Linked DNA regions of Xenopus tropicalis. The protein of the gene in region 2 interacts with the protein of the main gene of each other region in a biochemical or structural test. Links are inferred from orthologs where the notes say so. Each region holds a gene or a part of one and is shown on either strand. Other genes may lie near its edges.

The links.
Region 1: the proteins of sumo1 (region 2) and pias3 form a complex in vitro, tested with the Homo sapiens proteins (2 studies listed by BioGRID and IntAct, with this or other methods). The link is inferred for Xenopus tropicalis from reciprocal best matches to the Homo sapiens genes SUMO1 and PIAS3.

The regions. Positions count from the first base shown.
Region 1 is NC_030684.2:141,796,679-141,803,127, reverse strand, and holds the end of pias3 (E3 SUMO-protein ligase PIAS3), read left to right. Parts: intron 1-1,484; coding exon 1,485-1,558; intron 1,559-1,790; coding exon 1,791-1,951; coding exon of another isoform or gene 1,952-1,955; intron 1,956-2,714; coding exon 2,715-2,851; intron 2,852-2,947; coding exon 2,948-3,119; intron 3,120-3,198; coding exon 3,199-3,332; intron 3,333-3,445; coding exon 3,446-3,483; intron 3,484-4,357; coding exon 4,358-4,618; 3' UTR 4,619-6,064; downstream 6,065-6,449. UniProt on the Homo sapiens protein: Functions as an E3-type small ubiquitin-like modifier (SUMO) ligase, stabilizing the interaction between UBE2I and the substrate, and as a SUMO-tethering factor.
Region 2 is NC_030685.2:52,311,654-52,318,576, reverse strand, and holds the start of sumo1 (small ubiquitin-related modifier 1 precursor), read left to right. Parts: upstream 1-2,481; 5' UTR 2,482-2,585; coding exon 2,586-2,597; intron 2,598-6,923. UniProt on the Homo sapiens protein: Ubiquitin-like protein that can be covalently attached to proteins as a monomer or a lysine-linked polymer.

The DNA.
Region 1 (6,449 bases), on a different chromosome or scaffold from region 2:
CTCCTCCTCTCCCCATGTGTTTATGGTACTATCCTGAGGTTCTCCTCCTCTCCCCATGTGTTTATGGTACTATCCTGAGGTTCTCCTCCTCTCCCCATGTGTTTATGGTACTATCCTGAGGAACCAGATCCTAACCCTCCCCATGTGTTTATGGTACTATCCTGAGGTTCTCCTCCTCTCCCCATGTGTTTATGGTACTATCCTGAGGTTCTCCTCCTCTCCCCATGTGTTTATGGTACTATCCTGAGGTACTCCTCCTCTCCCCATGTGTTTATGGTACTATCCTGAGGTTCTCCTCCTCTCCCCATGTGTTTATGGTACTATCCTGAGGTTCTCCTCCTCTCCCCATGTGTTTATGGTACTATCCTGAGGTTCTCCTCCTCTCCCCATGTGTTTATGGTACTATCCTGAGGAACCAGATCCTAACCCTCCCCATGTGTTTATGGTACTATCCTGAGGTTCTCCTCCTCTCCCCATGTGTTTATGGTACTATCCTGAGGTTCTCCTCCTCTCCCCATGTGTTTATGGTACTATCCTGAGGTACTCCTCCTCTCCCCATGTGTTTATGGTACTATCCTGAGGTACTCCTCCTCTCCCCATGTGTTTATGGTACTATCCTGAGGTACTCCTCCTCTCCCCATGTGTTTATGGTACTATCCTGAGGTACTCCTCCTCTCCCCATGTGTTTATGGTACTATCCTGAGGTACTCCTCCTCTCCCCATGTGTTATGGTACTATCCTGAGGTACTCCTCCTCTCCCCATGTGTTTATGGTACTATCCTGAGGAACCAGATCCTAACCCTCCTCATGTGTTTATGGTACTATCCTGAGGTACCAGATCCCCCCCCCTTTCCATGTGTTTATGGTACTATCCTGAGGTTCTCCTCCTCTCCCCATGTGTTTATGGTACTATCCTGAGGAACCAGATCCTAACCCTCCCCATGTGTTTATGGTACTATCCTGAGGTTCTCCTCCTCTCCCCATGTGTTTATGGTACTATCCTGAGGTTCTCCTCCTCTCCCCATGTGTTTATGGTACTATCCTGAGGTACTCCTCCTCTCCCCATGTGTTTATGGTACTATCCTGAGGTACTCCTCCTCTCCCCATGTGTTTATGGTACTATCCTGAGGTACTCCTCCTCTCCCCATGTGTTTATGGTACTATCCTGAGGTACTCCTCCTCTCCCCATGTGTTTATGGTACTATCCTGAGGTACTCCTCCTCTCCCCATGTGTTTATGGTACTATCCTGAGGAACCAGATCCTAACCCTCCTCATGTGTTTATGGTACTATCCTGAGGTACCAGATCCCCCCCCCTTTCCATGTGTTTATGGTACTATCCTGAGGTATCAGATCCCAGATCCCTCCCCGTATATTTCTGGTTCTGTTATGAGGTGCTACATTCCTCCCTCCCCCCTGAGTTGCAGTTACAGGTTACCTCCCCAGGGGGCGCTGTGCTTAACCGCGTTTGTTTTCATATAACAGTAAAGGAAAAGCTGACGGCAGATCCCGACAGTGAGATCGCCACCACGAGCCTGCGCGTTTCCCTCATGTGCCCGGTGAGTGCTAATGGGCTCCCTGTTTAAGCTTACATTCACTGACTCCGCCCCCAGCACTGTCTGGCTGAGGATTCTGGGATTTGTACTGTAAAACAGAGGGATTAGCATCCATTTGGCAGCTTTATTTTCCCTTCATATTAAAGGCAAAGTAACCATTTAATGGGTAATGCTTTACCGACCCGCTTGCACTCAGACTGGATTAACCCTTTGTGGCTGCTGATTTCTCTCGCAGCTGGGAAAGATGCGCCTGACGGTGCCCTGCAGAGCCATCACCTGCACCCACTTGCAGTGCTTCGACGCGGCGCTCTACCTGCAGATGAACGAGAAGAAGCCGACGTGGACGTGCCCCGTGTGCGACAAGAAGGCGCCGTACGACATGTTGATCATTGATGGGTGAGACAGCTGCACCCCGTAGCCTCAGGGCTGTATGCGGCGGCCATGTATATCTGTGCCCTGCCACTCACGCTGTCCCTCCGCCCCCCGCAGCCTCAGGGCTGTATGCAGCGGCCATGTATATCTGTGCCCCGCCACTCACGCTGTCCCTCCGCCCCCCGCAGCCTCAGGGCTGTATGCGGCGGCCATGTATATCTGTGCCCAACCCCGCCACTCACGCTGTCCCTCCGCCCCCCGCAGCCTCAGGGCTGTATGCGGCGGCCATGTATATCTGTGCCCAACCCCGCCACTCACGCTGTCCCTCCGCCCCCCGCAGCCTCAGGGCTGTATGCGGCGGCCATGTATATCTGTGCCCTGCCACTCACGCTGTCCCTCCGCCCCCCGCAGCCTCAGGGCTGTATGCAGCGGCCATGTATATCTGTGCCCAACCCCGCCACTCACACTGTCCCTCCGCCCCCCGTAGCCTCAGGGCTGTATGCAGCGGCCATGTATATCTGTGCCCAACCCCGCCACTCACGCTGTCCCTCCGCCCCCCGCAGCCTCAGGGCTGTATGCGGCGGCCATGTATATCTGTGCCCAACCCCGCCACTCACGCTGTCCCTCCGCCCCCCGCAGCCTCAGGGCTGTATGCGGCGGCCATGTATATCTGTGCCCTGCCACTCATGCTGTCCCTCCGCCCCCCGCAGCCTCAGGGCTGTATGCAGCGGCCATGTATATCTGTGCCCAACCCCGCCACTCACGCTGTCCCTCCGCCCCCCCGTAGCCTCTTCATGGATATCCTCAACTCCTGCACAGACTGCGACGAAATCCAGTTCATGGAAGACGGATCCTGGTGCCCGATGAGACCAAAGAAAGAGAAGCAGGACATTTGCCAGCCGAGCCCATACGGAGGCATCGAGGGTGAGCTGGGTGGCTGGTACCGGGTGGGTAGAGCATCCCATTCAAATGCTAGAACCCCCGTATTCACTAAATGTCTCCGCCCCCTTTGCGTTGCAGCCAGTGGCATCTATAGCATGACCCCCGAACTCAAGCACAGCGCAGAGGCCAAGAAGAAGGTGGAGGTGATCGACCTGACTCTGGACAGCTCCTCGGACGAAGAGGAGCCACCGAGCAAGAAGCAGTGCCCCGTTACGTCCGCGGCTATCCCATCGGCCACGGGACCCAAGGGGTAGGTCCGGAGGGGAGTTGGGTGCCGAGTACAGGCCTGACATACAGGAAGGGTGCTAGTTACTTACATTTGCTTTCAGGGTCATCAGCGTTGACCACCAGCCATCGTCCGTATTACGGAGCCCACCCATGGCCACCATAGGCAGCGACTACCTGTCCAGCCTGCCCCTCCCGGATTATCACCGGTCCTACCCTGTCCCACCCGATATCCAAGGTAACCGAGCGGAGTATAGAGGGGGCACACTGGGGTAGTAGGGGGGTATTGGGGTAAAGGCTGGAGTGGGGGTAATAAATAAACTAATAAATGCCAATGCTTTCCTACCCCAGGGCTGGATCTGTTCTCCTTCCTCCAGGCCGACAGTACGGTAAGTGCCATTTCTATTTTACTTATTATAACCCGTTAGTCGCCAGATGCCCCTGTGCCCGCCAGGGATCCCCACTGTTTACATTTAAAGGGGCAGTTCACCTTTAAATTAACAAGTATATTATAGAATGACCAATCCTTAGCAATTTTTCAATTGGTCTTCGTTTTTTATTTCGTATAGTTTTTTTTTTTCTTGTAACTCTTTCCAACTTTCCGATGGGGGTCACTGACCCCGGCAGCCACAAACTATTTCTCTGAGAGGCTCCAGTTTTATTGTTATTAGGGATGCACCGAATCCAAGATTCCGTTCCGTATTCGGCCGAATCCGTCGGTGTGGGTTTGGGGGTTGGCCGAACCCATAGTTACTTTTTATTACACATCTTTCTATGCAGGCCCTCTCTTATTCCTATTCGCATCTCTCGTTCATACTGCTACCTGGTTGCTAAGGTAAATAAGACCCTAGCAACTGGATAGCTGGAGATTTGCTGAACAAAAAGCTAAATAACTGAAAAACCATAAACCAAAGCAACTGCCTCAAAATGGCAATGTCTACATCATACTAAACTCACATCTCTGATTATCTCTTCTTCCACTTCCTGAGCTGTTCTCTTCCCCTGGTTATGTGGGAGGGAGGGGCTAGTTTCCAAATGGTTGCTTGTTCCTCCCCCCCCCCCCCCCCTACCATTGCATTCATCTGTAAGTGTAAAGCCATTGGATGGAGCAGCATTTCCTTCAGGCTGCTTTATGTGCCTTGGAAATCTTTAAAGCTCCGCCCTCCCTGACCATGGGTAAGAGAACAGCCCAGAAGTGGGTATTCCCATAACTGTCAATTGATTGATTGTTTTTTTTTTTTGTTTCTCTCTCTTCCTATTCAGCATTACAGCCCTTCCGTCATCACTTCCCTGGACGAACAGGACGCCCTGAGCCACTTCTTCCAGTACCGGGCACCCCCGGGCCATTACATGAGCCCACTCACCCAGACCATAACGGGGAGCCACGCCACGCCCAGCGGCGCCAGTCGGATCAGTAGCATCGTGTCCACCAGTTCGCTGAGGGAGAGCCACAGTCACAACACGTCGCAGAGCGCCTCCTCGGCGCTACCGGGCTGCCGGCCGGACATCATATCCTTGGACTGATTGGGGGAGACCGGGCACGGGGCAGGCAAAAGCAGAAGAGCAACATTACAGCCGCTGAGCCTGGCACAGCTGGGGGGCCCCCTGCACTTGTGAACTCCACTAGGAATCCTGGTGCGCTCTCTGCCTCTGGGCTTCCCAGCTCTGCAAGTACTACCCCTTTCCAGCACTGTGGCCCTTGAATCCATTTTATTGCTCCTATCGATTTGGCATTTTATTCCCAAGCATTATATAGAAGGGGCCCTGCGGCACTCAGCTATATCCTACAGGGACACTCGGACGCACTAATATAGCGCCAGAGTTGCCCAGGGAACCCCTACGTAGCAACAGTTGTAGTATTAAATCCCACCCCCTTCGTCCATATCCCACTAGAGAGGCGCTTTTTTTTTTTTTTTTTTATACTGGAGGAAACTTCTTTTTTTTTTTTTTATAAAAAAAAAAACTTTATTGAAAAGCAGAAAATGTTGCAAAATATGGGACAATGTTTCCTGACTCGCGGGAAGACGATATTTCCAGTCGTATTTTTTGTAAAGGGGAAGAATTGTTTTTCCAGCAGTAAATGCCATCAGGATTATTTTTTACCTTTTTTTTTTTTTTTAAACGAGGATTTTATTTGCTCCAGATAATGCAATATCATCAATGTCAGCGTCTGTGTCTGGTATATAATGTATATATATATATAGGCCACGCCCACGACTAGTAGCTGGTGTGTGCAGGAAAAACTCCCAGCATCCTCAGAGGTCCAGATAATGCCGTCGCCCAACAAACAATATGGCAGTTTCCAATGGCAAGTTTGGATATTATATAATATACATAATATCAGTCAAGCTCTCTTGCCCAGGCACTCTGGTCAGCAGTGCTGTAAATGAGCCTTGCAGATGTAGGCTGATAAAGGCAGCAGCACAGTCTTACTTTACGGCAGGGATCCTGCATATACACACAGGTCTATCTTGAACCCCTGCCACAAAGCAAGACTGCTGATGCCTTCAGCCAGAAAGGAAACCGAGGCTACAGGTCACATGACTAACAGGAATTAAGCTGGATTTAACAGCCGTCCCCCCCCCCCCCAAAGTCCATTGTGGTGGAAAATAATGCTGAGATTTTACAATTACGAAATTATTTACAAACTAAATTTTTTACCCCTTTATTCAGTCGGCTCATCTGCCTGCTTATGTATAGAAATGGGAGCTGCCATATTGTTTGCAGAAGTATTCTGAGCAGAATGCAGAACAGCGCCACCTAGAGGGCATCATTTTGTTAAGGAGCTCTGCCTCTGCTGATCCCTTATGTTGTGCTCGCAATAAACCATAAACCCATACAGACTACATGAGAGCAAACGGCTACTAGGGGTGTAGTTTCCCTTGTATCCAACAGTTTGTTATGTTCTTTAGTCCCCTGAACGCCATAGTAACAACCATTATACACCCCAGATTTATAGCACAGGAACCCCACTGTCTGTAATAACAGCAACACAGCAGCCATATACCTCTAAATTATATAGTCAGTGGGCTGAAACTTGGGCCCATTTGCCCCTTTAGGAATCTCCCCCCAGTACTTACGCAGATACCCAGTTTTGATTCTCTGTACTTCCTGCTTCTGGGCTGCTCTCTTTCCCATGGTCAGACAAAAACTTCTCCTTTTGTAAGTGAATCCAGTCTTCCCTTAGTACGGACCAGGGCACAGAGCTCTGTATTTAAGCTGTTCCTGGGCTGCTCTCTTTCCCATGGTCAGGCAGGAATCTCCCCCTGGGTAAGTGAATCCAATCTCCCCCAGGTACAGAGCTCTGATTCTCTGTACTTCCTGCTCCTGGGCTGCTCTCTTTCCCATGGTCAGG
Region 2 (6,923 bases):
CTAAACAATAGGAGGACTATTGGGCAGTATGCTTTTTAAATTTTGACTTTAAATACAAGGTACAGCCGTATCAGCTTCTCAGCTGTGTTTGGACCAGACCTTTAAGAGACACTTTGATATCAGTTCTATCACCCCCTAAGGGATGGTGCTTCCCCACACATTAGGTAGAAATAAAATGAAGCTGGGCTGCCTACCGTGCTTTAGCTGAGGTTGAACAACAAATCCTAAGAATCATAGCATTCATGCTCCTTAATACCCATGAGTATGGAAAAGGGACACTGCTACTGGGAGTTGGTACCAGGCCACAACCATGTTTTTACTGGTGCTGGGTATCCCTTGCACTGATTTAAGCTGGGTGCATTTATAGTACAGTAAATTCCCATGAATATTCTTTGGTTTCCCTAAATTCAGTGCATGGTACCAAATACAAGCCTGTGACCGACCCAATAATCTTTAGACATATGAGTGTATATATCTTTGTGCCAAAGAGAGGAAAATCAAATATTCTCTAAGAGTAATAGCACTGAGAGTATTCTATATAATTAAAAAACTGTTAATAAGGCATAGAATTTATAGATTGGCTGTTAATAGGGGTTAAAGGAGTTCCTTAGGAATCTTGCTGACCAACAATAAAGGGCCACTAGTACACAAATACCCTTGTACACTTGTAGGGTGGCACACTAAACTGGAAGCAAATGTATGTAGAGATGAACGCCATGCGTAGGTACTTAAGCCCATACAGGCTCGTTAATAGAGTTGTATTCTGTATTCGGGTCCGATTGTCAATTTGGAGTTAGAAAGGAATTTTTCACCTCTGAGGCAAATTAGAGAGGCTTCAGATGGGTTTTTTTTTGCCTTGGGCCAAACAATTGAATTACAACTATGGAAGAAGACCCATCAAAGTGAGGACTGCATCAATGAGCCAATGCAGTCTCTGATCAAACCTGCCTGATCAACATCCGGACAATTTGAGGCCAGATATCAGTTGGATGGGCCCATCAGGGGTCCCCTTACACAGGCAGATAAGCTGCCACCTTATCTTGTCAGTGATCTAGGCTTTAAAAATGCTTTTAAGAACTATTGCCTACTGAAGACAAGGTATGACTTGGCGTGGAGATATTGGATCTCTTTGATGGTATTTTAGCTAAAGGCTGATAAAGAGTCAACATTATATTAGGCAACTTGATATATGGGGTAAGATGACCAGGATTTCACTTCTGGATTGGACTTTCAATTTTTATAATTATTATAACAAGGAGTTAGCGCTAAAAAAATATACCACCAAGTGTAAAAATTCTATAATATTTTAATCAATCATTAAATCAATACAAAAAGATACAAGTCATAAGTTAAAAGATACAATAGGATATAGTGATAATCAAAAACAGTTCGTTAAAACTAAAATGTTGGCCCTATTAGTTCATTAAAAAAGTGAACTAGGATAAATGAGGATGGTACAATAAATACGTGCATAAATAGTCATTTAAAAAGCTAAACGTATTTATTGTACCATCCTCATTTATCCTAGTTCACTTTTTTAATGAACTAATAGGGCCAACAATTTAGTTTTAACGAACTGTTTTTGATTATCACTATATCCTATTGTATCTTTTAACTTATGACTTGTATCTTTTTGTATTGATTTAATGATTAATTAAAATATTATAGAATTTTTACACTTGGTGGTATATTTTTTTAGCGCTAACTCCTTGTTATAATATTTATATATTCACTGTGAGGATTAGTTTGGAGGAAGGAGGCTATTTATGATATTCTATTCACTATTTGGGTAAGAGGATTGTTGTTGGGTAATTTAATTTGTTTTTTAGAATAATATTAGTCTTTCACGAACTACACATAAATTTATTAGAAGCGCGGGTAAGGTTTATTCACACAATTTTGATAATTATGTCTATTCTCCACCCACCCTATGCCTCGGTATCTGTTATTTAGTCTCTTCCCAATGTGTCCTCTAATATAGAGGCATCAGGGGCTCTCAAGGGATCAGATTGACAAGATAAGATAACCAATTTTTTTTTCATATAAGCAATTGTCTGTAATTTGGCTCATTCATTTAACCAGTTTATATAAACATTTGTGGTCAATTTCAATCATGCGACGCAACCAAAAAGGTTAAGAATCACCTACTAAAACGTCAAAAGCCACGTAAAGCCAGGTAAAGCCAATCTACTATGTAACGGGGCCTTTTAATGATGTGAGGCTGGCAGTGCCAAAGCCATTAGACGCCTACTATTAATGCTCGGCTTTGGAGAGGTTAATGCTCTATACAGAAAAAACACTGGATATCAATGGTTAAAGGCTGACGTTCGCATTACAATATGGACACAAAAGCGCCACCTAGTGCTCAGCGTCTGTGCAAGCGCATACCCCTACCATTTGCCGCAAGCCGCAGCAGTGCGCGTCAGCAAAATGTGGGCGGTGCCGCATGTATCGGAAATGAGGTCATTCCCAAGAACCGGAACACCTTCCTTGTCTGGTTCTCTTGTGCTGTTATTGTGCCCGGAGGAAGGAAAAGCGTAGAGCGGTCCAGTGTAGCGAACCGATACCGGCCGAGAGCAGTTAGCATGTCTGATCAGGTGAGACACTTTTGTGGAGTGGGCGGGAGAACGAGAGAAAGTCTCTGGGACGTGTGTGTCTTGTTTTGTGTGTCTGGAGACCTGCTTGTAGATGTAAACAAGTAGGTCTCATGGCTACACATTAATATGCAGCTAAAGTAGTACATGCGGCCCATAACCAAGGGCGGCAGCTAAGTCATTTACTTTCATTTTATACGACACTTAGACTATTAGAGCTGGTTGCTATGGGTTTCTGCTGCTGTGCACTTTTGCTGGATAAACTGCTCTATAGGACCCACACCCCGTTGTGTGTCGTGTAATTTGCTTTATGTCTTATTGTCCAGTATGTGTATCTTCTCCTGTAGATGTTATTATCTGTGAGTAATTGCCCAGTGGTGGTTGGCGAAGTGAGAGGCCTAACAGGAAAGCCAGAGATATATTGGCCCATATAGTTATTTGACCTATATAAAGTATATATTAACCTAACAAGTTTCAGCAGCTTTAGCCTTATGGGGTCTCACACAGCATTGATTTGTTACAGTAGGGTAAATCTGTTAGCCTGGAAGAGCTCAAAGCATTTCAGAACTATCAGGTACATAAATTAAGTCTATTTATGAGCATCCACTAAGTGTTTGTAGATACATTATTATGTTTGGTTGAAAATATAACAATCGCGTTTAACCCTTCCAAACAAACACCGCTGCACACGTATACACATGTTAATTTAATTGTAGTGGTAATTCCCATTACCCAGGGGAGGTATCATGTTAAGCTGTGTGTAGGTATGTGGGAGTTAACGATTGATCTCTTGTAGTACACTCTGCTTGTTTATATTGTATGTAATGTTCAAGCACATCTTGTTTTCTTGCATGACTTTCATAGTTTAGGATCCCAATCTTATCTTTAATGCAGCCACCTAAAGGGTGACGGTTTAAACATTCAAGTGGACTACAGGCCAAAATGATTAGATCCCTGTGATGTTGGGCAGTACCAGCTAGTCCTGTCACTTCAAACTTTGCTGATGCCGCATTCATGTGGGCATGGGGACCACTGGGAGCCCCAAATTTCTGTCTGGCCCAATTAAGTGCACTTTCAATGGTGCGACGGATTAAATACCAGTGATGCACGCAGATGTTTCTGTTGAAAGCTGTTTTTCCCATTATTGGTATTTATTGCCTTACATTTAGGGCAACATTGCGTACATGCATTTGTGTCAAATGTATATCACTCTGTTATTTTGTATCTCAGTCTGTGGGTATGTGTGAACAAGTATTCCCATTTCATCATACACCTCTAAAATAGTGTCTGAAAAGTTGCTTTTTGTACAGCTTTACTGAAAAAAAATTTAAATACTTTGCTAGCACCATTGAGCAATTCCATTCACTGCTGGGTGCTTTTCCAAGATGTGCAGAAGAGTTAGTAGGGCTCCTAAATTATCTCTGCAAGTGTAATTTCAGTCTCTAACTTCCGCGCAGTTAGTTGTGTGTAAAACCACTTTCATTTGAGGTACGTAAGTGAAAATGCGCTTCTTAAAGGACAAGGAAAGTCGAAATCTATTAAGCACACTATTAAATAGTACTACTATTGCTGTGTAAAAACGCTATATTTCTGGCTTGCCCAATGAAATATTTACAGAGATACACATACTAGAACTTACATACTTGTTTCAGTGAACGGCGCCGCCATCTTGTCCAGCATGTCTGTATGGGCTATTGCTGAAAAGCACAAGCCAGCCCCCCTCCGATCCCCTCACCTGCCACAAACCCTCCACCGCTCCCCGCTTCTGCCACAACCCCCCCCCGCTTCTGCCACAACCCCCCCCCCGCTTCTGCCACAACCCCCCCCCGCTCCTGCCACAACCCCCCCCGCTCCTGCCACAACCCCCCCCTGCTCCTGCCACAACCCCCCCCTGCTCCTGCCACAACCCCCCCCTGCTCCTGCCACAACCCCCCCCCGCTCCTGCCACAACCCCCCCCCCCCTGCTCCTGTCACAAACCCTCCGCCGCTTCCCACTCCTGCCACAAACCCCCCGCCGCTCCTCCCACCTGCCGGCTCTGCATGTCACAAATGCAGATGCATCACTGCATATCAACTCCCCCGGCTCCCCGCTCCTGCCACAAACCCTCTGCCGCTCCCCCCACCTGCCAGGTCTGAATGTCACAGAGCAGAGTTCTCCTGTCGGCTGCGTCGCCATGGCAACCAGACGCTCCTGCTGTGTGCGCATGCGCTGCCTACAGTCCCAAGTTGCCAAGTCTGGGCAGGAGCGTTGCATTATGGGAATCTTCTCTACCCTGCTCAGCGTTTTTTTTTCCTGTTTGGCTTCTGATCTTCTGAACAGGTGAAGTATGGGGAGACTTAAGGGCACTATTGAGTCAACTGAAGGTATGCCTGCAGTTTGGGATTAACTCTTTATTAGCCTTTCCTTCTCCTTTAAACTTTAATGTAGGTGTGCTTGGCACAGCTCAGTCCTTCCTGTCTTGTGAACTAAGGCACAACACAATTGCACCAAGCACATTGACTCTTGCAACTGCAAAGATGCTGGAATTCTGGGAAAAATATTGCATTGTGGAAAAAACTAGGCGATTGCAGTTAAAATTGCACATGCAGATGTATAGGTACCCTGGTGTCTCATCAGTTTTCATTGTAGGATGTAAATCAATTGGCAGCTAGGCCGAGTTTGTGAAAGGCCACAAAGACCTTCCCTAGAGAAGCAGCATCTCTCTGTCAAGACCATTCTGATGTGTGGCTGTTCTCTGTAATGTTAGCAGTAAGCACAGTTTGGGTAGGAGGGAGAACCAGCAGATCCTTTATAGCACGTTGCTTACATGATGAGGGTGATTTTCATTTTAAATGTTTTTGGTTCTTTGTGGACAAAATGCATCAATACTGTATATACCTTTTCATGTGGTTCTGTTGTATGAAGATTTTATGCTAAATAGTATGTTACACAATCCACTACAACCTTCGGGCATTGATACAGAAGTAATTTTTATTGGTACAGTACCTAAAGTACTGTTTTACACCAGATTACTTCCCATTACTTCCCATTCCTTCCCCTGTGGCAGATATCGGATTGCTGGATAAACAAGATACAGTTAAGGAAACAAAGTAAACTGTGCAGAGTTTTAAGCCTTGCTTTAAGGGTGTATAACTAGGGATTTCATTTAGTTTCAGGCTTAGTGCAATTTTTAATAAGCACAGAGATTTTTATTACCAAATACCTTTCTTTATGACACCATTGTTTATAATAGCCCAGCTCCAAAACATGTGAAAGAGAGGATAATTGGCCCACAACATGGAATATTATGGGTTGCCCTGATGTAAAGGAAGAAAACAATTAAAAGGTGTACTGACTGTAATCTGAATTCTCTCCAGTGCCACCCCCAGGTTATTGGGGCTTCTTTTCTATCAAATTTCTGTAATTTTGGGTGACATCTGGCTTTCATAAAAATGCTTTATGTAGTCTGATTGCTGCATTCCCAGTTGAGAAAAACAGACTGCTAATTGTCTTGCATTGCTCCTTAGTCACTATGGAGTGTCAGCTACATTACATCAGGTGCTTGGAATGGTACAACGGAAGATTTCTGTCAGAATCCCTATAAGATGCTTGCAGAGAAGTACTGTATGGTGCAAATACCCAGCATCAGTTTGTGCCAATGATGCACTGAATTGTAACGGGATGTTCTTTACCTCTTGTATCAATCTATATTGTATGTAATTTTTTTCATGTTAACATACAATCTATTTTACAGCTTTGCGTGCTTGTTAGTACTTTATAAATGTGTGGTAATACAGAATGAACTCACTAAGTTTTCTTGTGCAGAATTATAATGAAATGAAGGTGACTGCAGGCAGCAGCACAATTCTTATTTTCCACTAGGTTGAATTCACATTTAGAATATTATTCCTCAGCTTTTTTTTTTTACCTGCTGATTCTATACAATATAAGCTGCTCCCTCTGTGCAAGGCTGAATCAGCAACATTGTGGCTATAAAAGGACATTGAGAAGAGTAAATTGCCTTTGTAATAAGGGACATTCAGAAGCAAATTGGCAAAGAGATCAAGAAACCAAACCTACATATATCTATTTATCTATAATTGTATGCATTTTTTTTTTGCAAATTAGAATAATCTAACTTTAACCACCCACCGTGTAACATTACACTGCCCAAGTCATGGATTTATATAAAAAAAAAAACTATTTTATATATATATATATATATATATATATATATATATAATTTAGTCCCACTCATACATATAAAGGTGTAGATAAATAAGACTCATTTTGCTCTGTAACCTATGCCCATAGAGTTATTGACTTTTCCGGATGGGGAAATTATATTC